Linked DNA regions of Anolis sagrei. Each later gene encodes a partner of the first gene's protein in a complex. Links are inferred from orthologs where the notes say so. Each region holds a gene or a part of one and is shown on either strand. Other genes may lie near its edges. The genes, in order: ERC1 and PPFIBP1.

Evidence for each region.
Region 2: ERC1 (region 1) and PPFIBP1 share a complex: the UniProt entries of both Homo sapiens proteins name them as parts of the cortical microtubule stabilization complex. The link is inferred for Anolis sagrei from reciprocal best matches to the Homo sapiens genes ERC1 and PPFIBP1.

Annotation. Positions count from the first base shown.
Region 1 is NC_090025.1:178,591,500-178,607,007, forward strand, and holds the start of ERC1 (ELKS/Rab6-interacting/CAST family member 1), read left to right. Parts: upstream 1-8,530; 5' UTR 8,531-8,697; intron 8,698-15,508. UniProt on the Homo sapiens protein: Regulatory subunit of the IKK complex. Probably recruits IkappaBalpha/NFKBIA to the complex. May be involved in the organization of the cytomatrix at the nerve terminals active zone (CAZ) which regulates neurotransmitter release.
Region 2 is NC_090025.1:89,607,475-89,622,701, forward strand, and holds the start of PPFIBP1 (liprin-beta-1), read left to right. Parts: upstream 1-9,481; 5' UTR 9,482-9,653; intron 9,654-15,227. UniProt on the Homo sapiens protein: May regulate the disassembly of focal adhesions. Did not bind receptor-like tyrosine phosphatases type 2A.

The DNA.
Region 1 (15,508 bases):
ATCCAAAGCATGTGTGTGTGTGTGTGGGGGGGGGGGGGGAGTCAAAAAAGCTGAAGCGCATAATGAGCCCAGGCTTGCTAGAAAGATTGAAAATAACACTAACAGACAACAGAGAGAAACCTGATCAGTCCGATTCAGCACATGAAGTATCCAATGAGTATGTTCCCTCTCATTCCAGCCAGTCTTCTCAAAGGAACAGAGAAGTTGGGGAGACAAACAATATTTTACAAGTAGCTTAGTATGTACTTACCATCTAACAAGCCCCAAGTCTCTGAATACACAATAATGTAACATGAAGCAATAGGATTCAATTTCATATTAGTGATTTAAATGATGATTGCAATTAAATTAATTACTAGCCATTTCAATAATTAAAACTGACTCATTAAATGATTGAAAGAAATTGATTTTTTTTACATTAAAATATACTTTTTCAAAACCTTAAGTAGAGTACTGACCATTTCTCTCTCCCAACCTCCCATTTTTTGGCCATCTACATGATCTTGGATCTTCTGTGGTTGATCAATCATGCTCTAATCTCTGGCAATAAAGGAGAGATTTGGTTCTCTTAGAGATGTCATGGTAGGGCCCAATGGGAGGAGGGATATGTGCATAAACTCTAAGGTGGAACTATGGTTTTCATGAATGATCAGTGGTCATCTGTTTCAACTCTAAACATGAGCAGAATCTAGCTGCAAATTGGAAAAAACTAAATTGAGGTTGGGATCAGACAAGACAGAGATACTCTTGGTCAGTTGCAAGGGTATAGGGTTACAGCCCGTGCTGGATGGACTTACACTCCCCCTGAAGGTGCAGGTTCGCAGTTTGAGAGTCTTCCTGGACTCTTTGCTGAGCCTGGAACCCCAGGTGTTGGCAGTGATGGGGGGGGGGGGGGGGCATTCGCATAACTAAGACTTATTTATTTATTTATTTGCTTTATTTCTATACCGCATTTTTCAGCCCAAACAGGCGACTCAATGCGGTTTACATGGTACAATTATCAAACAGTGTCAGTGCAATTAAAACCCATACCTTGGGAAGTTGGACTTGTCCACAGTAGTCCATACTGATGTTACATCCCGTTTAGACTACTGCAATGCGCTTTATGTGGGGTTGCCTTCAAGGACTGTTCAAAAGCTGCAAATAGTCCAACGCGCTGCAACCATATTGTTAACTGGGGGGTCACACAGGAGGCATATAACCCCCCTGCTGCGGCAACTCCATTGGCTGCCTATTAGCTACCGAGCACGATTCAAAGTGCTGACTTTAGCCTATAAAGCTTTAAAAAGCTTCGGTCCAAATTACTTGTCCGAACATATCTCCCCCTCTGAACCCGCTCGTAGATTGAGATCTCCTGGGAAGCTGCTGCTCTTGACCCCACCGGCCTCACAGGGCCTTCTCAGTGGTGGCCCCACGGCCGTGGAACTCCCTCCTGAGTGAGATCAGGTCAGCCCCCTCCCTCTTGACCTTTAGGAGACAGCTATATACCTGACAGCTATATGCCAAGTGTTCAGCCCATCATAGGAATACTTAAAGTGAAAGTTGAAAGTGCAATGCCCCAGAACTGTTTACGGATTAACGGCTATGTCTTTGTGTGATGTGTGATCTTATTTTATGTGATGTGTTCAATAATGTTTAATCAGGGGAGGATCAATTTTGATGTTTTATAGTGTTTCTTATCAATGGCATTGAATTGTGACCAACACTGTGAACCGCTCTGAGTTCCCTTAGGGGTTGAGAAGGGCGGTATACAAATATCACAAATAAATAAAATAAATAATCTAAATTACTTAGAAATTATAAATTATTTGCATTCACCATTGATAATCTAAAGAAGAGAGAATAGCATTTCTGTCAACTCAGAATATGTATCATTCAGTAACAGAGAACCTGCTGTTTTGAAACTGCTTGAATGTAATTCTGTTGTACAAGTTATCAGACACTTTTGCTAAAACCTCAGAGAATGATAAGAAACATTAACTTACTGATGTAATCAATGTATTTTTAGAGCACTGCCACACAACAGCTGCTCATTTTCATGTAGCTGATCAAGACTATTGCTTCCCCGAACAAAAGGGAAAGCAGTTACTGGAAGCTGCCTCCATTTGCTAACAAAAGTATAAATTGAAAGGATTACACTAGATACCAAAGAAGAAGAAAGCTTATCAACAGGACTGGCAAGGAAAAAAAGTTCAAAGTGTTTACCCCTGTCCTCAAATTTTATTTTAGATTAAGGACAAAAGAAAACAACACACAATTAGAATATTGTTATTTGATTTAAATAAATAGAAAAATGTTAGCATTTTAATGTTCAGTTCCATTCCTAATGATTTCAAACATGAAAGCTGCATTTTTGATTCACACCGAACCCATGTTCATGTAGAATGCATTTATTATTATTATTATTATTATTATTTTGCATATTTCTACCCCGCCTTTCTCAACCCCCGAGGGGGGACTCAGGGCAGCTTACAAAAGGCACAATTCAATGCCTACACAAACAATAAAAATAAAACATATATAAACAGCAATTAAAACAATTATAAACAATTAAAACAATCAATTATACATCACAATCAATAAAATATTTCTTGTTTAATTAAAACAAGTAGTAATTATGATTACTATAAATTTATTAGTTTAATTAACTTTACATTTATTAATATACCAGTAACTCATTTGCAGGTTCCAAAACTTGTCCGCTTTGCATAGTCATTGGCAGCAAAGCATGGTAGCGCATATAAAATTTTACAAGTGGGTTGTGGCCACATTTATATAGAGTCTATTAAACCTGAATTGTTTCTTACATGTATTTTTGCTTTTTTATTCTTATGTAACATATTTTCTTAATTAAGAATTATAAACATATCTCTTAAACAAGTGCTAAGATGAGAAACCAGAAAGATCTGGCAAATAAGGCCTCCGTTGATGATTTTACACACACGCAAATTCCGAAGCTCCTTGAATAATTACTTGGGCCATTTCCCAGAAGTAATAAAAGCTGTTTGCAGAATATTTATGATGAAGGGACTATGATATCCGTAATTACACTTGCTTCCCTTTTACTCATTCTTTCAGTAACCACTAGTCTGATGGGAAATATGGTACTCTTTAAAGCAGTTGTCATTAGATGCATTACTTAGGAGAGGAATACAGCACTATTTTAAATGAAGGCCTTATGAAAGTCATTAATTGAAATTATGGTTTCACTGAAGCTTTTCCCTCTCATTTTTCTCATAGCTCAGAACTGAAGTCGTCTTAGGCCATACGCAAGACTTTACCACACAGGTTGTGAATCTTTTAGGGAAACACAACTTGTGACATTATCACACCAGGGCTTTAGTGCGGACTGCCCCGCATTTCTATCACCTGCAGAATTCTGGGAAATGTAGTTTAGGGTGGAGCCTTTTGGATTCTCAGCTACAGTGGTCCTCACCTTCCCAAACTACATTTCCCAGAATTCTGCAGGTGGCAGAAATGCCGGGTTGCCCGCTTTAAAGACCTGGTGTGATAATATGGTTTGTCTTGCCAATTTGCTGCTTGTGGGACACCTGAATCTTGATAATCTACATTTCTTGCCTGGTTGAGTGTTACAGAATATATAACAGCTATCTAGGATTTTTCTTTGGCTGCAAAAGAATTAAGGTCACAGTCAATTTAGAACTGATTAACTACCAAGAAAAGAAGGCATAATTTAAGTATTCAGTTTAAACTAAGTTTTATTTTGTAATGCATAATTTTCTGAACAAATATAGGCATCCCTCACTTTTTAATTGTCTTCTCTTTCAAACCTTTTCAGTAATAACTGGAATTTATTAATTTACAGTGTGGTTCACTTTTTTGGTCACATGGAAAATTAATGAGTTTAGGTTACCTATAATTCAAAAAGTTCAAAGGAACAGAGGTGTGTGTGTGTGGGGGGGGGGTCTTTCCTGGGATAATCCTCCTTTTTGTGAAACACTCTCCTGCTACCTAGGAAATAGTCTGAAATAGGCTGGAGCCACTTTCCACTGCTTTTTGGGGAACTGCCTATCAGGTAAAGGCAAAGTTGCTGCTATTGTTTAATACTCAGATGGTGCAGCATGATTCACTGTGCGTCCATCCACAGTTGTTTGTGATGGGCCCAGCTGCTATACGGGATTTCACTCTGGAGTATAAAGAAAAATGGAGTAGGTCCCTCATTGGAAATACATTCCTTGGTCACATCTACAGACTACATGTGAAACCAGCAGAGATGGAAGCAGTTTTTGGTGTGCGGATGTAGAAAATCCTAATATTGCTTCAAGGCCTAAGTGGTGCTTATCAAATTGATTCCAGAATCTGCAATGTCTGCAGCTTGACAACTGGGGAGAATCTAAGATTTTTTAAAATTCGGCCCTCCCTAATTGCATATGTGCAGACTGCCAAAGAACTTCACAAGTGCACATTATGAAAGAGCGAGTTAAAAATTACGCCCACACGTGCTGACACACATTATGGGCTATATTTCAGAGTATCCTGCAACTTTATCTCAGTTTAAAGCCCTTAAAGTGCACTGCAGGGCTTAATCGTGGTGTGCATCATATAAACACTGAGCTGTCAGGCTGCCTTTGAAGTGCATTCAAAGATTAGTTTGAATGTGCCCCATAGGGCTTCCTGGAGGGGAAGCTGTACTTGGAAAGATTTGCTGGGGATGCCAGTCATTACATGTCATTTTCCTTGCCTAATGCTGTCCAGTAACTGTGGCTACTACTGCACTTAAAACTGAACACAAAAGATGTCACTTTGTTTGACTCTCTTGCAACCATGTCCTGCTTTCATTTTAACAATTTCCCTTTGGGAAGGACCAGCACAGTGTTGTGGTTTGGGCTCTGGACTACTGGGTCCAAATCCCAGCTCAATAAAACGCATTGGATGACCTTGGGCAACCTTCTCTCTCAGCCTCAGAGGAAGGCCATCGCAAACCTTTCTGCACTAACACTGCCGACAATATGCTGTGGAGTTTGCTTTAGAGTTATGACAAAGCTGGAAGCTCTGCAAGGTTTGCTGCTGCCAATACCACATGTATCCCTTTATAACTTTTACGGCTTGACTGAATAAAAGGCACATGTGGAAAATGTTAAGGCTCAGGGTGCCTTCACAGCACCCAATTATAGCGCTATGACCCCACTGTAACTGTCATGGGGTGCATCTACACTGTGGAATTAATGCAGTCTGACACCACTTTAATGCTATGGCACCTTGGGATTTGTAGTCTGGTGTGGTATCAGTCCCCTTTGGCAAAGAAGACTAATGTCATTGCAAAATGACAACTCCCATGATTCCATAACGTGGTTGTTCCAGTGTGCCTTCCCAGAATAGGAAACTCCTAGCATTATGTCCCAACACACTTTATCAGAGATCTAGGATATCTGCATGCCCATCCCCCTCCAAAACACTCCACCTGGTCATGCCCAGCACTTTTAATTTTAATTATTACATTTGGCACTGCCATTGTTTTTAATTGTGTCATTGTGTGTTGTCAATGTTATTGCTTTGTTTTCTGAGTTATTTTGCTGTCTGTTGTTGCTGTTGTTTTTACTATTGTATTTGGGCTCGGTCTCTTGTAAGCCACACCGAGTCCTTCGGGAGATGGTAGCGGGGTACAAATAAAGGATTATTATTATTATTATTATTATTATTATTATTATTATAACATAGAGTCATGGCAGTTAAAGTGGTGTCAAACTACACTTATGGCTGCATCCTACAGAATCCTGTGATGATGATGATAAAGATAGAACTGCAAAGACTCTGGCACAAGCCAGTAAAGGTGGTCCCAGTGATGATCAGCACACTGGGTGCCTAAAGACCTTGGCCTGCATTTAAAAACAATCAGGACTGACAGAATTACCAGCTGTCAGCTGCAAAAGGTCACCCAACTTGGATCTGCACACATTATTTGCTGATACATCACACTGTCCTAGACACTTGGGAAGTGTCTGGTGTGTTATCAAATACAAAAACCAGCACAGTGATCTTGTTTGCTGTGTACTAATCTTGTCGTGTATCAAATAATAACAACAACAATAATAATAATAATAACAACAATGCAATGACACTAGAGCTCCCTGACTGGGAATTCAAAGTGGCCCTTCCGAAATTAGAGGTCCTAAGATGGAACCGTGGCAGTTAAATGCGATGACATAGTTTTAACTTTATAACAATAATAATACTTTATTTATAACCCACACTATCTCAAGGAGCTTTGAAGCTTGAAAGGGCCCCATGTTGGAAATGACAACTTTCTTCAAGCCTTCTCTAATAATGTATTGTCGAAGGCTTTCATGGCTGGAATCACTCAGTTCTTGTGGGTTTTTTCGGGCTATATGGCCATGTTCTAGAGGCATTTCTCCTGACGTTTCGCCTGCATCTATGGCTCACCTCTGAGGATGCTTGCCATAGATGCAGGCAAAACGTCAGGAGAAATGCCTCTAGAACATGGCCATATAGCCCGAAAAAACCCCACAAGAACTGAGCTTCTCTAATAATGTTTATCTATGATCCTGTTGCTTATTGTTTCCTGTATATATGTTCTGGTGTGCAGCTTCCTTTACTCTCTAGTTCCTTAGAAGACTTCAGACGTCGGATCACACACTTGCATGCTGTTTTGCTGTAACAGATGTCCTGGCTCCAGATGGCAAAGAGAATTATCTCAATCATATCTGAAACTGGACTGATAAGTTGTGTAGCTGTGTATGCTGAACATATGAAGGCCGTAAGTAAACCAACTATGTTATTTTTTATCCAAGTCTACTTCATTTTTGTCTCTTGAGTTCATGATATAAACAAGTTGCTTTATGGGACAGTATATATGTATATATATACACTAGGCAATGGTTTCAGTTGTTAGACTGAATAACCTGTTACCTCTGATCTGTTAGGAAAACAGAGATCTGCCAGTGCATAAAAAAGCAGTGCTTCAGAAGTGTTTTTCAGTGTCCTTTTTATGCACTGGCAAATCTCTGTTTTCCTAACAGATCAGAGGTAACAGGTTATTCAGTCTAACAACTGAAACCATTGCCTAGTATAATTACACCTGGTTGTATATCACAAGAGAAGATTCTACTCTAAAGAGTTTTTGGCTCTTCTGGGAATGGTCATGCTTTCCTTAAAAAGTTTTAATCTCCAAAAGGTTATGAATGCCATTTTCCAAAAGCCCAAGCCTTTCCCCACTGAATTCGAGCCTAAATGTAGGTGTAATGTCCTCTTCTCCGTTACCTGAGCGGGAGAGACGGGCTGAGAGAACGGGGAGGGAACCCTCGCTGCCTCCTTCTTTTGAAAGCCTTAGTCAGAGATGACGGGTACGGCGAGCTAGATTGGACAAACTTCCCGCGGGTGCTCACCGACGCTTGCGCAGAAACGTCTCCTCGCCCTCCAATGGGAAAGGGGGGGAAGATGGCATAGGAACCCGAGACGTGTCAGGAGGCCGAGAAAGGCGGGAAGACGCCTCCTATTGGTCAGAGCGGACCAATGAGGGCGCTTCTGAAAAAATGATTGGCAGGCTCAGTGGATGAGGAATAGAAGGGGGGGAGAAGGAAAGGATACGTCAGCCGAAACGTGGAGGTAGGTGAATAGCATAAGTCTGGAGTGAAGCGGTCGAGCGGTGGGAGGGAGGGAGGGAGGGAGAGCGGAGGAGGAGGGAGGAAAGAAAGGGGGAGGAGCTTCGAGCGCGAGACGCGTGCCTGGGCCAGGCTCGCGCCGAAGGGGGCGGGGCTACGGTCGGTCTCTCGGGCCGAAGGAAGGGAGGAGGAGGAGGAGGAGGAGGGGGGCGGGGCCTGGCTCTTGGAGGGAGGAAGGGAAGAAAAGGGGAGGAGCTTCGAGCGGGAGGCGCGCGCCTGGGCCAGGCACGCGCCGAATAGAGGAGAGAGGAAGGGGAGGGGGAGGAGGAAGGTAAAAAAGAGGGAGGAGCTTCGCGTAGGAGGCGTGTGCCTGGGCCAGGCTCGCGCCGAAGAGGGGCGGGGCTACGGCCGGTCTCTCGCGCCGAAGGGAGGGAGGGAGAAGGGGGCCTGGCTCGAGGAGGGAGGGAGGAAAGGGGAGGAGCTTCGAGCGAAAGTCGCGCGGCTTGGCCAGGCTCGCGCCGAAGGGAGGAGGGGGCGGGGCCTGGCTCAGGGAGGGAGAGAGGTAAGGAAGGGGGAGGAGCTTCGAGCTGCAGGCGCGCGCCTGGGCCAGGCTCGCGCCGAAGGGGGGCGGGGCTACGGTCGGTCTCTCGCACCGAAGGGAGGGAGGAGGAGGAGGGGGCGGGGCCTGGCTCGTGGAGGGAGGGAGGAAGGGAAGAAAAGGGGAGGGGCTTCGAGCGGGAGGCGCGCGCCTGGCTCAGGCTCGCGCCGAACGGGGGCGGGGCTACGGTCGGTCTCTCGCACCGAAGGAAGGGAGGGAGGAGGGGGCGGGGCCTGGCTCGTGGAGGAAGGGAAGAAAGGGGGAGGGGCTTCGAGCGGGAGGCGCGCGCCTGGGCCGAAGGGGGGCGGGGCTACGGTCGGTCTCTCGCGCCGACGGAAGGAAGGCAGGGAAGGAGGAGGAGGAGGGGGCGGGGCCTGGCTGGTCTCGCGCCGCCGCCGGGGGCCAGGGCGCGAGCGGCTCTCTCTCTCTGAGGTAAAAGGAGGAGCCTCTCCGCCGCTCGGATCGAAAGGAAGGGAAGCCGCGCCTGCTTGGAGAGCTACAGCTGGCCGGGGGCAGGAGGTAGGCTGTTAGCCGCTGGGCCTTCTGTGTGGCTTCGAAGCTGAGGCAAGGGGAAGGGAAGGGGGTCGGGCGGGGCCTTGCCTGGCCAGCTGGAGCCAGGCCCTCTCCTGCCCCAAGGCCTCCCTCCCTCTCTCTCTCTCCATGGAGGCCACACTCAAGGGGGAGTCCTCTTAATATCGCCTTTCCTTGAAGGGGAGCCCTTCTCTTCTCCTCCCCCCTTCCTTTCCTCATAATCTCTCTGCCTCTTCCTTTCCCTGCGCCCCACCCGGTTGCCAGGCATGGCTTCCTGGAATACATCATCTACCTGCCTCTTTTCCTCGGCTCTTCTCCCCCCCTCTCTGTTTTCACAAAAAGCCATTTTGCTTCAGATAGATATTCTGGCGCTCCATCCTCCCTCCTTCTCCAAAGCCTACTCCTCGTTTTAGAAACCATTATTGAGACACAATACTTTTAGGGGCACAAACCTGTTTTACTGGGGTTTTGTTGTTGTTTTTTATAGTCTAATCATTCTCAATTCTGGGAAACCATGGGAGCTTTCTGCCTGCCGCTAACAATCAATTGGTGTGAGAATATGCCTTGCTTTTCATACATTAAGGCAGGTATGAAATGTGTCAGGAGGCCGAGAAAGGCGGGACGATGCCTCCTATTGGTCAGAGACAGGGCCTTTTCTGTGGTGGCCCCTCGGCTATGGAATTCCCTCCCAAATGAAATTAGATCTGCCCCCTCTCTCCTGACCTTTAGGAAGCTAGTGGTACCTGGCTGTGCAACAAAGCTTTTGTGGAACGATGTCTCACACCGGCAATCAACTAATGGTACTTTTTTTTTTTGGTCATGTCAGGAGTGACTTGAGAAACTGCAAGTTGCTTCTGGTGTGAGAGAATTGGCCGTCTGCAAGGACGTTGCCCAGGGGACGCCCGGATGAATTGATGTTTTTATCATCCTTGTGGGAGGCTTCTCTCATGCCCCCACATGAGGAGCTGGAGCTGATAGAGGGAGCTCATCCGCCTCTCCCCAGATTCGAACCTAATGGTACTGATCACAATATATGGACTGGACATACGGACTGAGTTGGACACGATTTTATCTTTGCGAAAGGCTTTTATGTAATTTATGTAATATGTAATTGGTAACTTAATGTTGTGTATCATGTTTTAGATTTTCAGTTTTAGCATTGAATCATTGCTGTTAGGCGGTCCGAGTCCCTCTGCAGAGGTAGAGAAGATCGGGATATAATTTTTTTAAATAAATAAATAAGGGCAAACTTGGTCCCTCCAGGTGTTTTGGACTTCAACTCCCACCATTCCTAACAGCCTCCCTGAGAGGGAAAAGGAAGGAGCCTGAGGCTATTAGGAATGGTTCGAGTTGAAGTCCAAAACACCTGGAGGGATCAAGTTTGCCCATGCCTGCTCTAGCTACATCATCACAATAGAGAATGAATTCACTTTAAATCCGATTTCTGCCTCCTGCAGAATTCTGGAGTTTGTAGTTTAGTAAGGCTGTTAAAGGTGCCTCCTTAAACTACAAACCCCAGAATTCTGCAGGAGGCACCATCTGGATTTAAAGTGGAGTGACTTTGGGGCATATGAATGTTCACATCTGAGAAGTTGCTGTGTTGAGTTTAGCTTCAATAAATGTTCCTCCCATACCTTACAAATTAGAGAGACGATTGGCCAACACTAACGTTATGAAGTTCAATAGTGACAAATGCAAGATGCTCCACTTAGGAAGAAAAAAATGAAATGTAAAGATACAGAATGGGGGTTACCTGGCTCGAAAGAGCAGTACGTGTGAAAAAGATCTTAGAGTCCTCGTGAATAACATGAGCCAACAATGTCATGCGGCGGCAAAAAAAAGCCAAAGGGATTTTGGCCTGTAAAATAGGAGTATAGTGTCTAGATCCAGGGAAAAGTCATGCTACCCCTCTATTCTGCCTTGGTTAGACCACACCTGGAATACTGTGTCCAATTCCAGAGATGTTGACAAGCTGGAATGTGTCCAGGGGAGGGTGATTAAAATGATCAGGGATCTGGAGAACAGGCCTTATGAAGAGCTGCTTAAAGAGCTGGTCATGTTTAGCCTGCAGAAGAGGAGGCTGAGAGGAGACATCATGGTCATGTACAAATATGTGAGAGGAAGTCATGGTGAGGAGGGAGCAAGCTTGTTTTCTGCTGCCCTGGAGACTAGGACATGGAACAATGGCTTCAAGCTACTGGAAAGGAGATTCCACATGAACATTAGGAAGAACTTCGGAACAGTGAGAGTTGTTCAGCAGTGGAACTCTCTGCCTTGGAGTGTGGTGGAGGCTACTTCTTTGGAAGCTTTTAAGCATATGGATGGCCATCTGTCGGGTGCTTTGAATGCGATTTTCCAGCTCCTTGGCAGGGGTTGGACTGGAAGGCCCATGAGGTCTCTTTCAACTCTGTGATTCTATGAAATTGGCACATGGATGACAAGCATGTAGGAAGCAGTCTTGCTGGTATGGAGGGGAGCATTTACTGATTAGATATTCTTTGAGATAGTGGATAGGGCGAGGAAGAATGCTGTGCAATGGTTTTATCTTTCATAATTCCGTTTTGTCCTTAATTCTGATTGGATTATGAAACTGCCTTGTTCTGGTAATTCTTTCTAATGGAATGGGGTGGCCGTCATGCTGTGAAACTAACTGAAATATTAATTTGCAGCCTTGGATTTTGACAGTCAGCTTTGGTAATTTCTAGGATTTTTTTTTTAATCTCAGGGTAGTAACCTTGGGGAAAGTGCTGTGGTGAGGCCTTGAACTATTGCTAGCTAGAGTGCATAATTCCCCAACTGGGTGCACTGGGCTGTATCATGCTTTCAAAAATACGTATTCCTAGTTGCAGAAAGATATTATTTTCATCTCCATTCTCAACCCATCCTCAGTCAAAAATTGGTCTTGGGTTTAATTCAGTTTTGTATAGTTTAGACTCCCACAATTCCCAATAGCCGGTAGGAATTGCTGTAAGGTCGCCCTGAGTCCCCTTATAGGGTGAGAGGGGCAGGATACAAGTATGTGATATAAATAAGTCCAAAACACTTGGAGGGCCCAAGTTTGGCTGTGCCTGGTTTAGATGGAGCAAAAAGGGAAAAAAAACAACTAAAATGATCTCAATTATGTATTTTAAATAATTTATATCATGTTTTGATGCAGTCTCTTTCCATATTGGTTTGCAATAGGTAAATTGTTTCATATAGTATGATCCCTTTATCCACAGATTCAGTATTTAATATTTAGTATTGCCCTCCTAGTTCTCTGGTCAGATTCGATTATTTCCTTTTGGCCCAAGTATAGTCAAAATATATGCTTCATTATCCACAGTTTCAGTTGCCCACAGGGTTGATGGCCTTATTCCCATCAGATACAAAGATCATATAGTACTTAATGAAAACTTGTATCATGCACAGTTGATCCTGTGCTTCTAAATTCCTTACATCTCACTTGGGAGGGCTTCTGTTCCAGGACTCATTTACCGTTCCTTTAGCCACTCCTCTCTGATTCATTATGCTGTGCTTATTCCTGAAAGTCATTCCTTGATTATGCCTTCCTCTACTCTGATTACATGATTCTTCATTAATTGTCCAGCACCGCAGATCTGACTTGAAGATTTGAATTCTTCAGATGTGCTATATGACCAAAATCTTTAGAGCATATGTCTCTAATGTCAACATAATTTTAGAACATATATTTAATTTTATTGTATACATCTTGAACAGTTTTCCTGTTCTATTAATGAATTGGTAGTGTGCAGCAAACCTTTATTTCTAGCAAAAGAATGATGCATGTTAAATTTATAATATATAAGTGACACATACAAAAGGAAAAAAACGATTTGAAGGAAAGAATGTTAGAGCAGTTAGGGAAAAGTGCTGAGCTTTACGTTTTAAAAAGTATTGCTCTTTTTTTTTGTATTAGCTGTGTCCATGCTGTGCATGGACATTTTTAGGAAGGGTGGTCGTATTTGTAGTCCATCATATCTGGGCACCAGGTTTGGGGAATCTTATTTATGGAGTTGTGAAACCTGGAATTGTGATGTTAGAACAGACAGTACAGCAGATGCTGTTAAAATAATGAAGTAAGAAATAGCTAGATTAAGAGAATGAAATAAGAGCATTACAAAACAAAAGAATCCTGTATGTTTAGTAAAATGTAAAGAATTGTAGTGTTATATCATTATTTGTGCAGACAATAAGCTATCCAGTAATTACTTTATCAACATTATAAAGTGATTGATTCCTATCACTAAGTGAAATTCTTCAACTTGAGTGCAATATATAAATCTTAACTTTCAGTTTCCAGGACAGATACTAGAAAGTGCTGCTTGACCTCCAAAGTTCCCCATTTTTTAAAGTTGCTCTCTTTTTTCACATATGTTGTGTCTGAAATGGTTTGAGAGAGTCTTGTGGAAGAAAGCACAATTTTCTTAGTGTCTTTAGTTTCCGGTAATTCAGGATAAGGTTCCCTTAGAACTGGTTACAATAGGATGATGGTGCAATAGAATGGAAAGGCTGTCTTGCCATTGCATGTAAGAGGCTCCTGGGTACTGGTGAATGTGTCTTCAGCAGTTAGCATTACCAGTTTTTCCACTGTATGTGGTGAGAAAAAGTGTGCCTTCAAGTCACTTCTGACTTATGGCAAATCTCAGGCAAACCCATCATGGGATGTTCTTGGTAAGATTTGTTCAGGGCACTTTTGCCAATACCATCACTATATCTTTTTAATTGTTCACTAGTTTAATAGATGGTGAGAATGCTGTGAAATTCCTTTGTGTGGATTTCAGCACAGCATTTGATAAGATCCCTCATAATATTTTTGTTCGCTACTAACAAAACAAGAATTAGATGGAGAGAATATGACATAGCTCAGTAATTAGTTGGAAAATTGAGTTGTCACTAGTGGCCGTCCTTCATATTTTCAGATCTTAAAATGAGGTGCTGTAGGGCCAATGCTCTTCAATATTTTTAATCAATGATTTAGATGTTGGGGTAGAGGAAACCATTACTAGATTTTTAGATAATCATCTTTCTTGGGTACCACAGTCAGTTCTGGGTGCTTTATTTTAAGAATAATATACAGTAGACAAGTCAGACCAGGTTCAGAGAAGAGCAAAAAGGATGATAAGAGTCAGGGAGAACTAAACATCCAGGAAAAAGTTGAAGTACTTGGACTTGTTTGGCTTGATTTTACTGGAGAGTGATATGATTGTACCCTTTGAATACCAGAAGGGCTGCTACAAAGAAGAGGATGTTAACTTGCTCTCTGGTGCCTAAGATATTATAATTTTTATAAATAAATATAAAGGCCACATAATTGGGTAAGTGATGGGTCCATGGAGTTTGCTCACTGACAAAACCAGTGTGCGCATTAGAATTCTGTCTGCTGCACCATAACCATTTCTTATGTTGTTTTTTAATACTGTATATGTAGGAGTAGTTGTTTTAATGCAGAATGAACATGTAACAATGGCTTATCACTTTCTAGTGTAGCATTCATTTTTTTTCTTTTTGGTAAACTTTTGAATATTTCTTCATACTTAACAAAATATTTACTACTGATTTAAATACTATTTTGTTACAAAGCAGAACAAAACATTAGCAGAAACTTGATCTTTTATTAGTAAGATCAGATGAGATCAGTGAATTTAGCATTTATTGCTTAAATGTAAGATCATTAAATAGGATCAGTTGAAAAGAGCTTTGTGAGAAAATTGATGATGGGAGCCTAAAATTATTCCAGTAATACTTTTAAAATCACTAAATTGGGAAGCCTTTAATGTTTTTTGAAGTGTTTGTAATGTAACTGTCAATAGCGATATCTTACGAAAATTTCTGGCCAGCTTTGTGAAGTAGAGTTACAATATTCTCGCTTTAGAACAGGAGTGGGTAAAGCCCAGCCTTGGAACCACGCATGATCCATCACTTTTACACATTTCTCTGATTCCCTTTTTCTGCTCCCCTCAACTGTTCTTGCTTAAAGCCTTCAAGAGTAGCAATTCATCTTTTAAAGAAGGTTGAGGGGTGCTCTGTACTATTTTACATCTTTTTTTTTTTTTCCAAAAAGGCTTCTTGGAGGCAGAAGTTTGCTGTCACTAGAGGGTCCCTGGAGCAGAAAGCTATCTGAACCCATTTTAATTTAAGACTTCTGATTTAGAAAGTAACTTAATTTCTTTTATACAGGCAGTTAAACTTACAAATGACTCATAGTTAAGAACGAGGGTGGGACAACAGGGAGTTAGAGAAATCTACTCCTGAAAGGAAGTAGGGAAAATACACTCCCAAAAGAGGGAAATTCACTCCTGAAAGAGTTATAATGGGAAAAGGTATCTCCACTAAAGCTTTATCACCAATCCTTGTTTCCACAAGCCAAATATTTCAAAATACAATTATTGCAGGACCAGAAAGGGAGGAAAAAATCTACAGGGGTGTTAACTCTTCCCTGTGCTATCCAAAGCTATGTATTTGACTGGAGTTACACTTAAAAATGTACCTGTTCCGACACACACACATTCAACTTAAGAACAAACCTACAGAACCTATCTTGTTCGTAACTTGGCGACTGCCTGTATATCTCTTAGTAAGATGTTGGCATTTTGATAATGAACATTTAGATTTTTCAGTTTGCACATCTTTCATTAAATGTTTTTTTTCTTAGCATTTGTCACATATTTTCCACTTTTATTTTAAAATTATATTAGGATAGCAATGAAACAAAATGGCAGAGTTGTGCTGCCTCATCATATCTAGCATATTTGCTCAAAAAGAACGGCATAATTTCTTGTTACTTTTTGTCAGAAAG
Region 2 (15,227 bases), about 89 Mb from region 1:
CTCCCCTCTCTTCGCTCTGGCCCAGAGTGACAGTTGGTGCTGGGGGGAGGGGTCCCCAACGGATGGCAAATGCAGGAGACAAGATGGTGCTGTCCCCTGGCCTCCCCTCTCTTCGCTCTGGCCCAGAGTGACAGTTGGTGCTGGGGGGAGGGGTCCCCAACGGATGGGAAATGCAGGAGACAAGATGGTGCTGTCCCCTGGCCTCCCCTCTCTTCACTCTGGCCCAGAGTGACAGTTGGTGCTGGGGGGAGGGGTCCCCAACGGACGGCAAATGTAGGAGACAAGATGGTGCTGTCCCCTGGCCTCCCCTCTCTTCGCTCTGGCCCAGAGTGACAGTTGGTGCTGGGGGCAGGGGTCCCCAACGGACGGCAAATGCAGGAGACAAGATGGTGCTGTCCCCTGGCCTCCCCTCTCTTCGCTCTGGCCCAGAGTGACAGTTGGTGCTGGGAGGAGGGGTCCCCAACGGATGGCAAATGCAGGAGACAAGATGGTGCTGTCCCCTGGCCTCCCCTCTCTTCGCTCTGGCCCAGAGTGACAGTTGGTGCTCGGGGAAGGGGTCCCCAACGGATGGCAAATGTAGGAGACAAGATGGTGCTGTCCCCTGGCCTCCCCTCTCTTTGCTCTGGCCCAGAGTGACAGTTTGTGTTGGGGGGAGAGTACCCCAACGGATGGCAAATGCAGGAGACAAGATAAATAAATAAATTATATTCCAGTAGTTCTCAGCCTTTCTAATGCTGTGACCCCTAAAGTTCCTCATGTTTTGGTGACCCCCAACCATATTTTCGTTGCTACTTCATAACTGTAATTTTGCTACTGTTATGAATTGTAATGTAAATATCTGATATGCAGGGTGCATTTTCTTTTTTTACAAATTGAACATAATTAAAACATAGTGATTAATCACAAAAACAATATGTTTGGGGGAGTACGGACAACGTTGATGATGGGATTTGTAGTACCTTCAACTGATTCACCTCTGACTTCCACAGACCACTGAGAGCCTCACGAATTATAGACCTGGACCAAACTTGGCACACAAAACCCCAATGACCAACAGAAAATGCTGGAGGGGGTTGGGAGGAATTGACATTGATTTACGGGAGATGTAGTTCACCTACACCGGAGAGCACTGTGAACCCAAATGGCTATAGATCTGGACCAAACTTTGCACAAATACTCAATATGCTCGAAATTGAACACTGGTGGAGTTTGGGGAAAATAGATCTTGACATTTGGGAGTTGCAGTTGTTGGAATGTATAGTTCCCCTGCCATCAAAGAGAATTCTGAACTCCAACAACAATGAAATTGAACCAAACATGGTATACAGAACTCCCATGACCAACAGAAAATACAGGAGAGGCTTGGGGGAAAATAGACTATGGCATTTCAGAGTTGCTGGGATGTATAGTTCCTCTGTCATCAAAGAACATTCTGAACTTGAACAACAATGGATTTGAATTAAAATTGGCATACAGAACTCCCATGACCAACAGAAAATACCAGAGAGGCTTGGGGAAAATAGACTTTGGCATATGAGAGTTGCTGGGATGTATAGTTCACCTGCCATCAAAGACCATTCTGAATTCCAGGCATTTTGGGCAAGGGATATTCAACCTATTAAAAATGTACTTTCTCTGTTATAGTTTGGTTCTTTTTAATTGTTGAATTCTTGTAGTAGTAGTAGTAGTAGTAATACTTCTGCTAGTAGTAAATGTTATTGTTTAGCCCTTAGGCCATATCACAATAACAAATCAAACCAAAAAGCTTGATAAAACTCGATTACACTTTATATAGTAAGTTAAGTAAAACATAACTGTACAGTAAATAAATATTATAAAACTGAATATATACATCATGTTTCCGTATCACCCCTACAATTTATCCTGATCAGCCCCACATATGTGGTTCTCAGACGTATTGCTTTGTTTAAAAACAGAACAGTTTTATATGTTATTTTGGATCTTGGGCACACATAAAATACGTTGTTCTGATGCGGGATTCCCAATACATTGTCCATTTGATATAGGAACCAAGGTACAAGTCTCTCACCTTCTGGTATAATTTACAATCAAATGCTATATCCTCAATTTCAGGTGCCCCACAGATACAAATCCATTCATTATAAGGGCTGCTATTAAATTTCCCATATCTGACCATTGTATCAAGCTGATCAAATCAAACTCGAGTGAATACCTCTCTAAAAATGTTTTGGCATTTGAATTTTTAGATAGTTAGCAATTTGAAAGATACGTTTATATCAGCTCAGCCATTTGAAGTTGGCAACCTTACTAAGGTGGCTATATCTTTTTGCGCTTCTAAGTCTAAAATTATTTGTATAGCACTCTTTTTTATTTGGTTTCTTAAGGCGCAGGAGACAGGGAGATCGCAACTTCTTAAATAATTCATCAGTTGTGTAATCCAACAGGTCTGTAGTTGGAAATTTATCTGTTCTAATAGGCACAATTTTGAGAGTCTATTGGGCTCCATTACATTGATTTTATGCCAGTAATTATACACTCTAAGTTTAGACTATGCATGGATTGTGTAAATTTCCAGTTCAGCTCTCACTGCAGCAGTTGATAGATGTGAATGTGACTAAGGGCCCATCAACGCTACCATCTAAAGGCAGTTCCTGGGTTACAAACATCAGACTTGCAAATGATTCATAGTTAAGAACAAGGGTGATGAAGTCAAAATTTAGAATTCTTAGGACTGCAGATACCGAGAGTCTGTGCCTGATGAGGTCAACTAACCACCAATATTCCTGAAATAAGTGAAGACTCAGCAGTTGAGCGGCTGACTGGGAATGGAGAGCGGCGTGGTGCTGGTAGGGGCCTCGGTGGGGGTTTTCCGGTTGCTGAACGCCAGGCTCAAGTGGCTGGTGCCCTCCCCAGCCAAGGGGAAACCCTTGGAAGTGGCGGAACCTCTGGACCTCGCTGGCCCTCTGATGAAGAGTCCTTCAAGGGGTTCTCCAAGAGTGAAATGAGTAAGGAGGAGGAAGGAGATACAGATGGGAATAGAGGGACTAAGAGGATTACTCGAGAGCATCAGAGAAAGAAGATCCGGGACATACTTACTGCTCCCACAGAGGAAGAGGATTTTATGGGTTTTTCTGGGAATGATGGGTCTGGGAGTGATGGGGATGAAGAGGAACCATTGGATTGGACCAAAGTACAGGAGGTTCAGAATGTGTATACTCAACCAACGTCCAGTGACACTTTTGCAGGGTTTTCTGGTGGCGGGGATTGGCAATCTGGTGATACTGTGGAATCATAGGGAGACCTAAGTCTTGACAAGAGGTGGAAGAGTTGGAGGGATGGGCATTGGTGCTCAGCTGTGGAGGCTAAGCCAGCTGAGAGTGATGAGGATGGGGTGGAGCTGTAAAGATGGAATGATGAGCTGTAAGATAAATGTAGGCATTGGAATGATAGAACTTTGCAGTAGGCAAAGAGTTGGTTTCGTGCCTTGGGTCTTGTCGCTGCCACTTTCCTGTTGGGCTTGGGTCCTGGATCTGCAGGTTGCTGCCTTGCTTCGTGTACCGACCGGCTTGGATTCTCGTAAGTGTGGATTTCCCCTCTTCTTGACTTCGGACTGTTTTTGGCGATGACACTGCCTTGAGGACTTCGGAATCTTCAACTGGGATTTCTTCGACTTTGGACTGCATTTGGACGACAGCTTCTCTTCACAGCGCTTTGTTTGTTTATTTCTTTTGAACTGTGTGATTTTGGTGTGTTTTGGAAGAACTCTTGTTTAATCCGGGTTTTTTGCCAGTTTAATCCAGATTATTGACAAAATTTGTTTTACAAGCTAGAAATTGCTACAAACTTTGAGTTTTGACCAGAGGCACTGAAGCAAGTGTCTCTGAGTCATGTTTGCTTTGCTTTAATAAACTATTGTTTTGGATATACTCCTGTGTCTAGCTCTTTAAGGCATCTGGGAAGGGATTCAATGTACAGCAAAGAATATCAAAATGTATAAGCATAAATGTATTGTGAAATCCAACAAATTTTATACAGTAAAAGTCACATTTGTTAACATTGTCTAAGTTTGTATATGATCAGAGTAAATAGAGACTTATTTATTTATTTATTTATTTATGATATTTCTATCCCACCTTTCTCGAACCCAAAGGTGACTCAAGGAGGCAAACAACCAGGCAGCAATTTGATGCCTAGTAATATACAATTAAAACAACATTTAAGCAGAATTAAAATACATTCAATAAAATCTTTAAAAACATTCATTGTTAGTTTCATTGTCCAAAAATCATCGTCTGAGCCTTTCCAATATTCCAATGTTCACTTTTGTCTAATTTCATGTTTGACTGTTGCATTAGATTCCGAAGGCTTGTTCAAATAGCCACATTTTCACTTTTTTTCCAGAAGGTCAAAAAGGAGGGGACTGGTGTAATATCCTTGGGGAGGGCATTCCGCAACTGAAGGGCCACCACTGAGAAGGCCCTGTCTCTCGTCCCAGTTGTTCCTGTGAAGAAGGCAAGACCGTGAGCAGAGCCTCCCCAGACAATCTTAAACTCTTAGATGGTTCATAGGGAGAGATATGTTCAGACAGGTAAGCTGGGCTGGAAAGTTTAGAGCTTTATAGGCTAAAACCAGCACTTTGAATCGTGCCAGGTAGCAAACCGGCAGCCGCTCCCGTGAGCAATCTGGCTGCAATCTGGCTGCAATCTGAATGCAGCTAAAATGAGACCTCTCTCCCTTTGCCCTTATTTCACCTAAGAATTTGCATTGAAGCATCACATGAACTCTATCTTTAATATTTTTATTACTTTATTTTATTGAACTATATGAATTAGAAGGCAGATCAGCATGAACTCTAATTACTTAGACGATCCCTCATTGTCAGAGTAGGATTGTCTTCCAAGATCGGTGTACTAGCGGTGGGTATGTAGGTGACTGTGGAGCCCTATTCTTGATCTGCATGTTCTCCTGCAGTGAGGGCATTGGTTTCCAGGTGGAAGGCGGTCCTGATCAGGGTTGGCTTGACGCTCCTTCCTCTTGGCACATTTCTCTCTTTCACCCTCCTCTTCAAATTCTACAGCACTGCTGGTCACAGCTGACCTCTAGCTGGAGCGCTCAAGGGCCAGGGCTTAACCTCTTGAGCTATCTGAGCCATTCCAGATACTCCTTCCACACCCTATGTGGGAAACAGGGACAAGACATAATCTGTTGGACAAGGAATCTTCATGGATACCAGTGGGAGGCCATCTGCTTGCCACCCTGAACTTCCTCTTTGGGGATCTCAGCTGTCCGCTGGATAAAGGTTCAGGAAGAAACTCTGATTACACTCTCATCTTCACTTGACATTTCTGGGATCTTTTCTTTATCTTCTCAGCATGGGAGGATGTCTGGAGATCCACTGCTCATTGTCCTTACATCCAGGACCCAGTATCTGCATAATCCCATCATTTATCTTTTTGGATTCTCATTGTCTTCAGCATTCCATTGCTATACAACCAGGTTGGATACAACCCCTTGGAGATCACCTCCAGTAACCACCTCCATTGGCCCATTGGGAGCCCCAGGGCTTCCCCGCATCACTGCCACCTGCACCAAGTTAATTTATACAATTACAATGCATAAAAACCACAAACAAAGTTAAAAACTTGGCATTATGCTAAATTTCCGTTGACCACTTCTAGTGCCTCTGATGTCACTGTGAGAAGGTCCTCCATTGTGCATGTGGCAGGGCACAGACTGCATTGTAGTAATGCAGGTTTGTTCTTCTCCACATGTGCATGTCATGGACTCCACTTTGTAGCCCCATTTCTTAAGATTGGCTCTGCATCTTGTGGTATCAGCGCGCAGCCTGCTCAGTGCCTTTCAAGTCGCCCAGTCTTCTGTGTGCCCAGGGGGGAGTTTCTCATTCAGTCTCAGCCATTGATTGAGGTTCCAAGTTTTAGCCTGCTACTTTTGCACTCTCACTTGCTGAGGTGTTCCTAAAAGTATCTCTGTAGTTCTTAGAAAACTATTTATTGATTTAAGACGTTGGTATGCTGGCTGATATCCAAACAGAAGATGGGCTGAGAATGTCCTTTCTTTACTAGTTGCTATTTCAGGCAAATATCAAGTGGTGCAATAGCGGCTAAACAACGTAATTTCTCCAACGGCATAGGGGGTAGACATCTGTGATAATGTGGCATGTCTCATTAAGAGCCACATCCACTGCTTTAACGTGGTGAGATGTATTCCACACTGGACACGCCTATTCAGCTGCAGAGTAGCCAATCTCAAGTGCAGTGATAATATAATACTTTAAATTTTCTAGATGCCTTTTCTAGATGTCCTAGTCATCCGTAAACCAGATCAACAGTTGGGTCACACCGTCTACAGAAAACCCACACACACAGATTGATATCTACATAAAAACTCCAACCATCACCCAAGTCAAAAAAGAAGCACCATTAAAGCCTTGGCAGACCGTGCAAAAAGAATCTGTGAACCCCACCTCCTCCAAGATGAACTGAACCACCTAAACTGGGCTCTACAGGCCAATGGATACTCCACCTCAGACATCAGAAGAGCTGCAAGACCAAGAACAAGCCACGAGAGCAAAGATGAAGATCCACCCAGAGAAAAAGTGTTCCTGCCATACATCAAGGGAACCACTGACCGCATAGGGAAACTGATGAGGAAACACAACATACAAACAATCTACAGACCCACCAAGAAAATCCAACAAATGCTACATTCAGCAAAGGATGAGAGGGATCCTCTCTACCGTATTCCATGCAGCTGTGGACAAGTCTACATAGGGACCACCAAACGCAGCGCCCAAACACGAATCAAGGAACATGAAAGGCACTGCAGACTACTTCAACCAGAGAAGTCAGCCATAGCAGAGCACCTGATGAACCAGCCTGGACACAGCATATTATTTGAGAACATAGAAGTGCTGGATCACTCCAACAACCACCATGTCAGACTACACAGAGAAGCCATTGAAATCCACAAGCATGTGGACAATTTCAACAGAAAGGAGGAGACCTGAAAATGAACAAAATCTGGCTACCAGTATTAAAAAACTCTAAAATTACAACAGCAAAACAGCAGAGAGGAAACAACCAGGCACATCTTAACACCTCTCAACAAAAGATTTCCCCAGACTCAGCCAGGCCTTCAAATGCTAATGAAGGTGGTCAGTGGAAACATTCACACCTAGCTCCAGCAGAGGAGAGCTCTTTGCCCCACCCCAGTCATTCCACAGATATATAAACCCATTTTCCTAATTCCAACAGACCTCACTACCTCTGAGGATGCTTGTCATAGATGTAGGCGAAACGTCAGGAAACAATGCCTCTTTTATTTATTGTGTCATCAGCAACCATTGTATCACAATTCTAACAGAGCAAAACAAACATACAGATTAAAAAGAAAAAGGAAAAAAAAACACACAGATTTTGCAAATTTAGTATTTGGTTAAATGTCCTTTGACCAGTATCTGGCCACTTGGAGTGCCTCTGGGGTTGCCGCAAGAAGGTCCTCCATTGTGCATGTGGCAGGGCTCAGGGTGCATTGCAGCAGGTGGTCAGTGGTTTGCTCTTCTCCGCACTCGCATGCCGAGGATTCCACCCTGTAGCCCCATTTCTTAAGATTGGCTCTGCATCTCGTGGTGCCAGAGCGCAATCTGTTCAGCGCCTTCCAAGTCGCCCAGTCTTCTGAGTGCCCAGGGGGGAGTCTCTCATCTGGTATCAGCCATGAATTGAGGTGCTGGGTTTGGGCCTGCCACTTTTGGACTCTCGCTTGCTGGGGTGTTCCAGCGAGTGTCTCTGTACATCTAAGAAAACTATGTCTTGATTTAAGTCGTTGATGTGCTGGCTGATACCCAAACAGGGGATGGGCTGGAGATGTCTCTGCCTTGGTCCTTTCACTATTGGCTGCTACTTCCCGGCGGATGTCAGGTGGTGCAATACCGGCTAAGCAGTGTAATTTCTCCAGTGGTGTGGGGCGCAGACACCCTGTGATAATGCGGGATGTCTCATTAAGAGCCACATCTACTGTTTTAGTGTGGTGAGATGTGTTCCACACTGGGCATGCATACTCAGCAGCAGAGTAGCATAGCGCAAGGGCAGATGTCTTCACTGTGTCTGGTTGTGATCCCCAGGTTGTGCCAGTCAGCTTTCGTATGATGTTGTTTCTAGCGCACACTTTTTGTTTGATGTTCAGGCAGTGCTTCTTGTAGGTCAGAGCACGGTCCAAAGTGGCTCCCAGGTATTTGGGTGTGCTGCAATGCTCCAGTGGGATTCTTTCCCAGGTAATCCTCAGAACTCGGGATGCTTGTCTGTTCTTAAGGTGAAAGGCGCATGTCTGTGTTTTAGATGGATTAGGGATCAGTTGGTTTTCCCTGTAATAGGCAGTAAGAGCACCTAGAGCAGGGGTCCTCAAACTTTTTAAACAGAGGGCCAGGCCACACTCCCTCAAACTGTTGGAGGGCCGGATTCTAATTTGAAAAAAAATGTATGGATTCCTATGCACACAGCACATATCTTATTTGTAGTGCAAAAAATACTTTAAAGCAATACAATAATTAAAATGAAGTACAATTTTAACAAATATAAACTTATTAATAATTCAATGGGAAGAGTGGGCCTGCTTTGGCTAATGAGATAGAATTGTTGTTGTGTGCTTTCAAGTAATTTCAGACTTAGATTGACCCTGAGCGAGGGCCGGGTAAATGACCTTGGAGGGCCGCATCCGGCCCCCGGGCCTTAGTTTGAGGACCCCTGACCTAGAGCTTCGGAGAGCTTCTGTTCAACCATCTCAAAGCTCCCTGCTTGAGCAGTAATGGCACGATCATCAGCATAGATGAAACTCTCTGTCCCTTCTGGCAGTGGCTGGTCATTTGTGTAGATGTTGAACAATGCCTCTAGAACATGGCCATATAGCCTGGAAAAACCCACAAGAACCTACTTTAAATTTGTTTCTAACTGGAACTTCCGGTTGTTTTCTCCATGTTTGGAGGATGTTTCATGGCATGAAACACGAGTCTTCAGAGGGAGTCTTCCTGTGTTTACTCATCCAGATTCACACTGCAGGGCTGGTATTTTCCAGGGCTGGGAAGAAAGCTCTATTGCCAAGGCACTCTTTCACTGCCAAGTTGGCAGGGAGACCAAGTTGGGAGCGTGAAAGCCTTGTTTTTCCAATATGACACCGCCTGATAAGGCAAAGCTGAGAAAAATTAATGGACAAGGCCAAAATTAGACTCCTCCCCTTTGGTCATAGTAGCTCCTTTGATGAATCTTCCCACATCACGGACACCCCACAAATCCTCTTTTAGAAAAACCCTCCCCCGCCTTTTCCACCAGCCCTGGAATGTACTACAACGGGGCGGAGGGGGGGGGGAGAAAGAAAGAGTACTCCCTCCTCGAGTGACTCCCTCTTACTCCAATCAAAACCAGGGGTTTTACGAAATCCTCCAATCTCTTTAGCCGCTCCCTTTGGGGGGCGGGGCGAACTTCGGGGAGGCGCCAGACGTTCAGCTAGGCGCTTCAGTCTTTGCTTGGAAGCCTGACATGGTCGGAAGAGGAGAGGCGAAGCGCGTCTAGAGAAAGGCAAAAGCAGGACCAGGGATGGTTTGGTGAAACCGAAGAAGGAGCGAGGCCTAGAGGCACAACTTTCCCCAAAGTTCGGTTTGGGTAAGTGACTTTTCTGAAGAGGGAAAGCAACGCATTGTTTATCCAGGAGCTGCTTTTCTTTTAGGCTCTTGATCCGGTTGATCTTACAACAGGAAGTGCAAAGTTGAGACTCTTGCTGGAGCTTGGGAAAAAAGGAGAGAGAGAGAGAATGGGAAAGCCTTTTTCAGACTGACTGTAACTTTGGGGTGCGTCTATATTGTTGGATTTGATGAGCTTTGGCACCACTTTAGCTGCTGTGGGGTCACAGGAGTTGGAGTTTGGGTGAGGCACCATCACCCTTAAGCAAAGAAGGCTTCAGACTTTACAAAACTATACCTCCCAGAATGTCACGGCAGTTTAAGTGAGATCAAACTGCATTGATTTTATAGTGTAGATACATCGCAACCTTGGAGAATTGTGGAGGAATTAGTCAGAGGTAAGGAGCACATTTCAGAGACCTGGACAGTTTGTTTGAATTATTGTGTGTGCATAGATGATAATTTTTAAAAAGAAGCATATATACAGGCAGATCGGAATATGAGAAACTAAGACTAGAAAGGGTGAGTTTGGGAATAAGTGAGAAAATGCAATGCTTGGGATCATAAGTGTTTTTGATTTAGGATATTTTTCTATTTTGGAATAGCTGTATTTATAGATTATACTTATAGATTTATTTATTTATTGTATCAGTAGCAACCAGACAATTGTATTACATTTTAAACACATTTTTAACAAACAGACAAAACACAGAATTTGCAAGCTTGGTAGTTGATTAAATGTCCTTTGACCACTTGGAGTGCCTCTGGTGTTGCCGCAAGAAGGTCCTCCATTGTGCATGTGGCAGGGCTCAGGTTGCATTGCAGCAGGTGGTCTGTGGTTTGCTCTTCTCCACACTCGCATGTCGTGGATTCCACTTTGTAGCCCCATTTCTTGAGGTTGGCTCTGCATCTCGTGGTGCCGAAGCACAGTCTGTTCAGCGCCTTCCAAGTCGCCCAGTTTTCTTGTGCCCAGGGGGGAGTCTCTCATTTGGTATCGACCATTGATTGAGGTTCTGGATTTGAGCCTGCCATTTTTGGACTCTCACTTGCTGAGGTGTTCCAGTGAGTGTCTCTGTAGATCTTAGAAACTATTTCTTGATTTAAGTTGTTGACGTGCTGGCTGATACCCAAACAGGGGATTAGCTGGAGATTGGTCCTTTCACTATTGGCTGCTACTTCCCGGCGGATGTCAGGTGGTGCAATACTGGCCAAACAGTGTAATTTCTCTAGTGGTGTAGGGCGCAGACACCCCGTGATAATGCGGCATGTCTCATTAAGAACCACTTATAGATGTATTTATACATGTTCTGTGGGGGGCATCTACATTGGAGAATGAATGCGGTTTGACACCTCCTTAAGTGTCATGGCTCAATGCTCTGGAATGTTGGGATTTGTAGTCTAGCATTATTTGGCAGAGGAGGTTTGAGCTTTATCAGTGACAATTCCCAGGATTCCAGAGCATTGAGCCACAGCAGTTAAAGTGGAGTCAAACTGCATTAATTCCATAGTGTAGATGCATCCATAGATACCTCATACACACGGCCTGAAGGTAATTTAATACACCATCTTTTTCATGACTTAGTGTAGAGCCTTCCAAACATTCATGTGTCAGCTACAATGTATAGGTTGTAGCTGTGTTGCATGAACATAAGGAGAAATCTTTGAGTCTTTGTGAAATAGCAATAAATCATATATTTATTTATATATATTTATGAATGGAACAAACTAATTTGATGGGACATAGCAATAATTAAGCAGTTTGGCCAGAAATGGAAAAGAAAAACACAGTTGTATATGATAGATTTGCGTGAAGCCTAAAGGAGTGCATCGACAACAAATTGGATAGGATAGTATAGAACAGGGGTCCTCAAACTTTTTAAACAAAGGGCCCGGTCACAGTCCCTCAAACTGTTGGAGGGCCAGATTATAATTTGAAAAACATGCACCAATTCCTATGCACATTGCACATATCTTATTTGTAGTGCAAAAAGCACGTAAAAACAATACAATAATTAAAATGAAGAACAATTTCAACAAATATAAAATTATTAGTATTTCAATGGGAAGTGTGAGCCTGCTTTTGGCTGATGAGCTAGGATTGTTGTTATTGTTGTGCGCTTTCAAGTAGTTTCACACTTAGGTTGACCATGAGCTAGGGCCGGGTAATTGACCTTGGAGGGCCGCATCCGTCCCCCGGGCCTTAGTTTGAGGACCCCTGGTATAGAATATTAACAGGTTTCCATGAAATATGTTGTGTCCCCATACATAATCCAGAGGAGGGTGACTAAAATGATTAAGGGCCTGGAGAATAAGCCCTATGAGGAGCGTCTCAAAGAACTGGGCATGTTTAGCTTGCAGAAGCGAAGACATGATAGCCTTGTATAAATATGTGAGGGGAAGTCATATGGAGGAGGGAGCAAGCGTGTTTTCTGCTTCCCTGGCAACTGGGACTTAAAACAATGGCTTCAAACTACAGGAAAGGAGATTCCACCTGAACATTAGAAAGAACTTCCTAACTCTGAAGCTGTTCAGCAGTGGAACTCTCTGCTCCGGAGTGTGGTAGAGGCTCCTTCCTTGGAGACTTTTAAACAGATTGGACGGCCATGTGTCGGGGGTGCTTTGAATGCGATTTATTTCAGTTTTATTTATTTCAATTTTTACCATTGTCATTTTTGCATATAAATGTTTAATACCATTTTAAATATCATATTCAATACTAGGTTTTAACTTTGCTTTTGACAGTGTTTCTTAATACCTGAATGTATATGTTCCTATTCTGATATTTGTACATTTTTTGTGCTGGTTACTGACCATAATAAATAAATATCTATATGTAATATAAATATATAAGCTTTGGATTGCATAGGGAAGCATTAACACCCCTGTGATGTTTGTTTTGGTACCTGTGCAGCAAAGTTTACAAGATGTTACCTTACTTTCTGTCCCTGTGATAATTGGATCTTGAAAAAATTGGCTTGTTGTGGAAACAAGGATTGGTGATAAAGCTTCAGTGGAGATACCTTTCTCCCATAATTCTTTCAGTAGTGAATTTCCCATCCTGGGATAGATTTCTTTCATTTCATGTTGTCTCACCCCCTTTCTTAACTATGAATAATTTATAAGTCGCATATTTGTAACTCAGGAACTGTCTGTAGAAGGATGTACATTTCATGAACATTTCTGTGTCCATACTGTCTATATTCATGGTTTTCATTTTTAGGATGGGAGGGTATTTCAGTTGAGCTGCTGGGATGAGATAGTGTCTCCTCTTGTGGGCATCTCTTTGTATGTTTAATATTGTTATGTTTTCTGCTGCTTTTAAACCCTGCCAAATTTTGTCTGCTTCTGCCCTGGTGAATGCGTAAAAGCTCCAATGAACACATAGATCTTTATAGCTTTTCCTGCTTCTGAAACTAGACGCTTCCGTGTATTTGGACCAGACATCTGGCAGTGACTTATTCACAGGAGCAAAACAAACCCACCTTCTTTTGACCAGTGAATAAATACACTGGTAGGCACCATCTGAGAAAGAGTTGGGAGGAGATAAAGAATGATTGAAGCTCTGCTTTGAAGTTCAGCCCTGTTGGGATGCCAGTTTCCCTTGGTATCTTTAACCTCGGTTTGGAGACATATATGGGATAATGTTTTCATGCATGTGAGTGTGAATAATGGTGAAATTCGATGACATAGTACTTGCGTGGTTTGTACTCTTGGAATATGTTTTGGAGACTTTTTCTTGCCCTATGACACTGTGTGGGACTTATTAGTAAAGTCTTACACACTGAAAAAATGGAGGAAGAAATACTGGAAGAAAAATACAAATATATTTCATAAAGTTTCCCTTATATATCATTTTTATGGCCAGGAGTCCAAATGCATCTAAGGCAGTGGTTCTCAATCTGTGGATCCCCAGATGTTTTGGCCTACAACTCCCAGAAATCCTAGCTAGTTTACCAGCTGTTAGGATTTCTGGGAGTTGAAGGCCAAAACATCTGAGAACCCACAGGTTGGGAACCACTGCTCCAAGATTAAAAAACATCTATCATTCCATAGCATTGAGCCATGCTAGTTAAAGTGGTATCAAACTGCATTAATTCAACAGTGTAGAAGCAGTCTCAGTGTCTCTCTATATGTACTACTTTCTTAACTCTTAAAAATACCCCACCCACTAAAATGAATGGAAATAATCTGTCCTGATCCTCCTACTGAGTCTTGTTGCACTGGTTGATGGCCCACATTGTTGTCAGTCTCCCATTAGCTTAGAATTAGAATGGCACCGGAGTGCTATTTTGGGCAGTGTGTTGACTTTTCTCTAGGAACAACAGCAGCAACAAAAAGAGGTTTATTTCAAGGGGTTTATGTATAAGAGACAGGGACCAAAAGTTGTTGATGATGAAGTTTTTACACTTTGACTTTCTTTGGCTGAAAGCCTGAAGCTGCTTTTCAAAAACCAAATAAGCTGTTGCAACGTGCCCCTGTAGTTTGTGATCTTCATGAGAGGTTTTCCTTATTTTTAAGGATAACTTAGATCATTTTTATAAAACACTTAGCGAGAGAGACTTATTCAGCTTTATCTTGTGCTTTTAATCTTCAGACAAATGTTGATGTATTATGAACAGTCAGCATTATTAGTTCTTTTTCTTTGAGTCTTGTTCAAGGATTTGGCAGTAAAATATGTACTACAAACTGTTCGGAATGGAATATGTGGAAAAGTAGAAATTATTGGCAAAACAAGCATCTATTTTTTTTAACTCTGACGCAAAGCCACTGGAAGCAAACAAAAAAATCAGAATTATGGAATAGATCTGAAAGCAAGGAGAGTTGATGTATCTGAATGCAATATAATAAGTTCCTTACCAAGTGGGGTGGAACTTATTATATTGTATTCAGATACATCAACTCTCCTTGCTTTCAGATCTATTCCATAATTCTGATTTTTTTTGTTTGTTCCTTACCTAATAAGGAACAAACCTAATAAGTGGGATGGAGCCCCTGGTGGCGCAGTGGGTTAAACCCCTGAGCTGGCAGGACTGAAGACCGACAGGTCACAGGTTCGAATCCGGGGAGAGGTGGATGAGCTCCCTCTACCAGCTCCAGCTCCTCATGCGGGGACATGAGAGAAGCCTTCCACAAGGATGATAAAAACATCAAATCATCCAGGCGTCCCCTGGGCAACGTCCTTGCAGATGGCCAATTCTCTCACACCAGGAGTCACTCCTGACACGACCAAAAAAAAAAAAAACCCAAGTGGGATGAGCTGCAGTGACTTTCTAAGTGTTTTTGGATATTACCATTGATCACGTTGGCTAATGCTGGTGGGAATCGTAGGCCAGGGCTCTTGAGTATTGTAGACCAACATTTTTGAAGAGACAGAGCAGTTTCCCAGATTCTGGATTTCCAGAATCAGAGGATCACTTTGGGGATCACTTTTCTGGATGATCAAGGAAGACCAAACAGAGTGAAGCTGTGCAAGTGAAATCAGTGCTGCTTTTCAAAATAAAGGTGCATGTTTAACTGACCCGCAAGTTGTGCCTCCTTTTCTTTCTTTTTTTGCCCA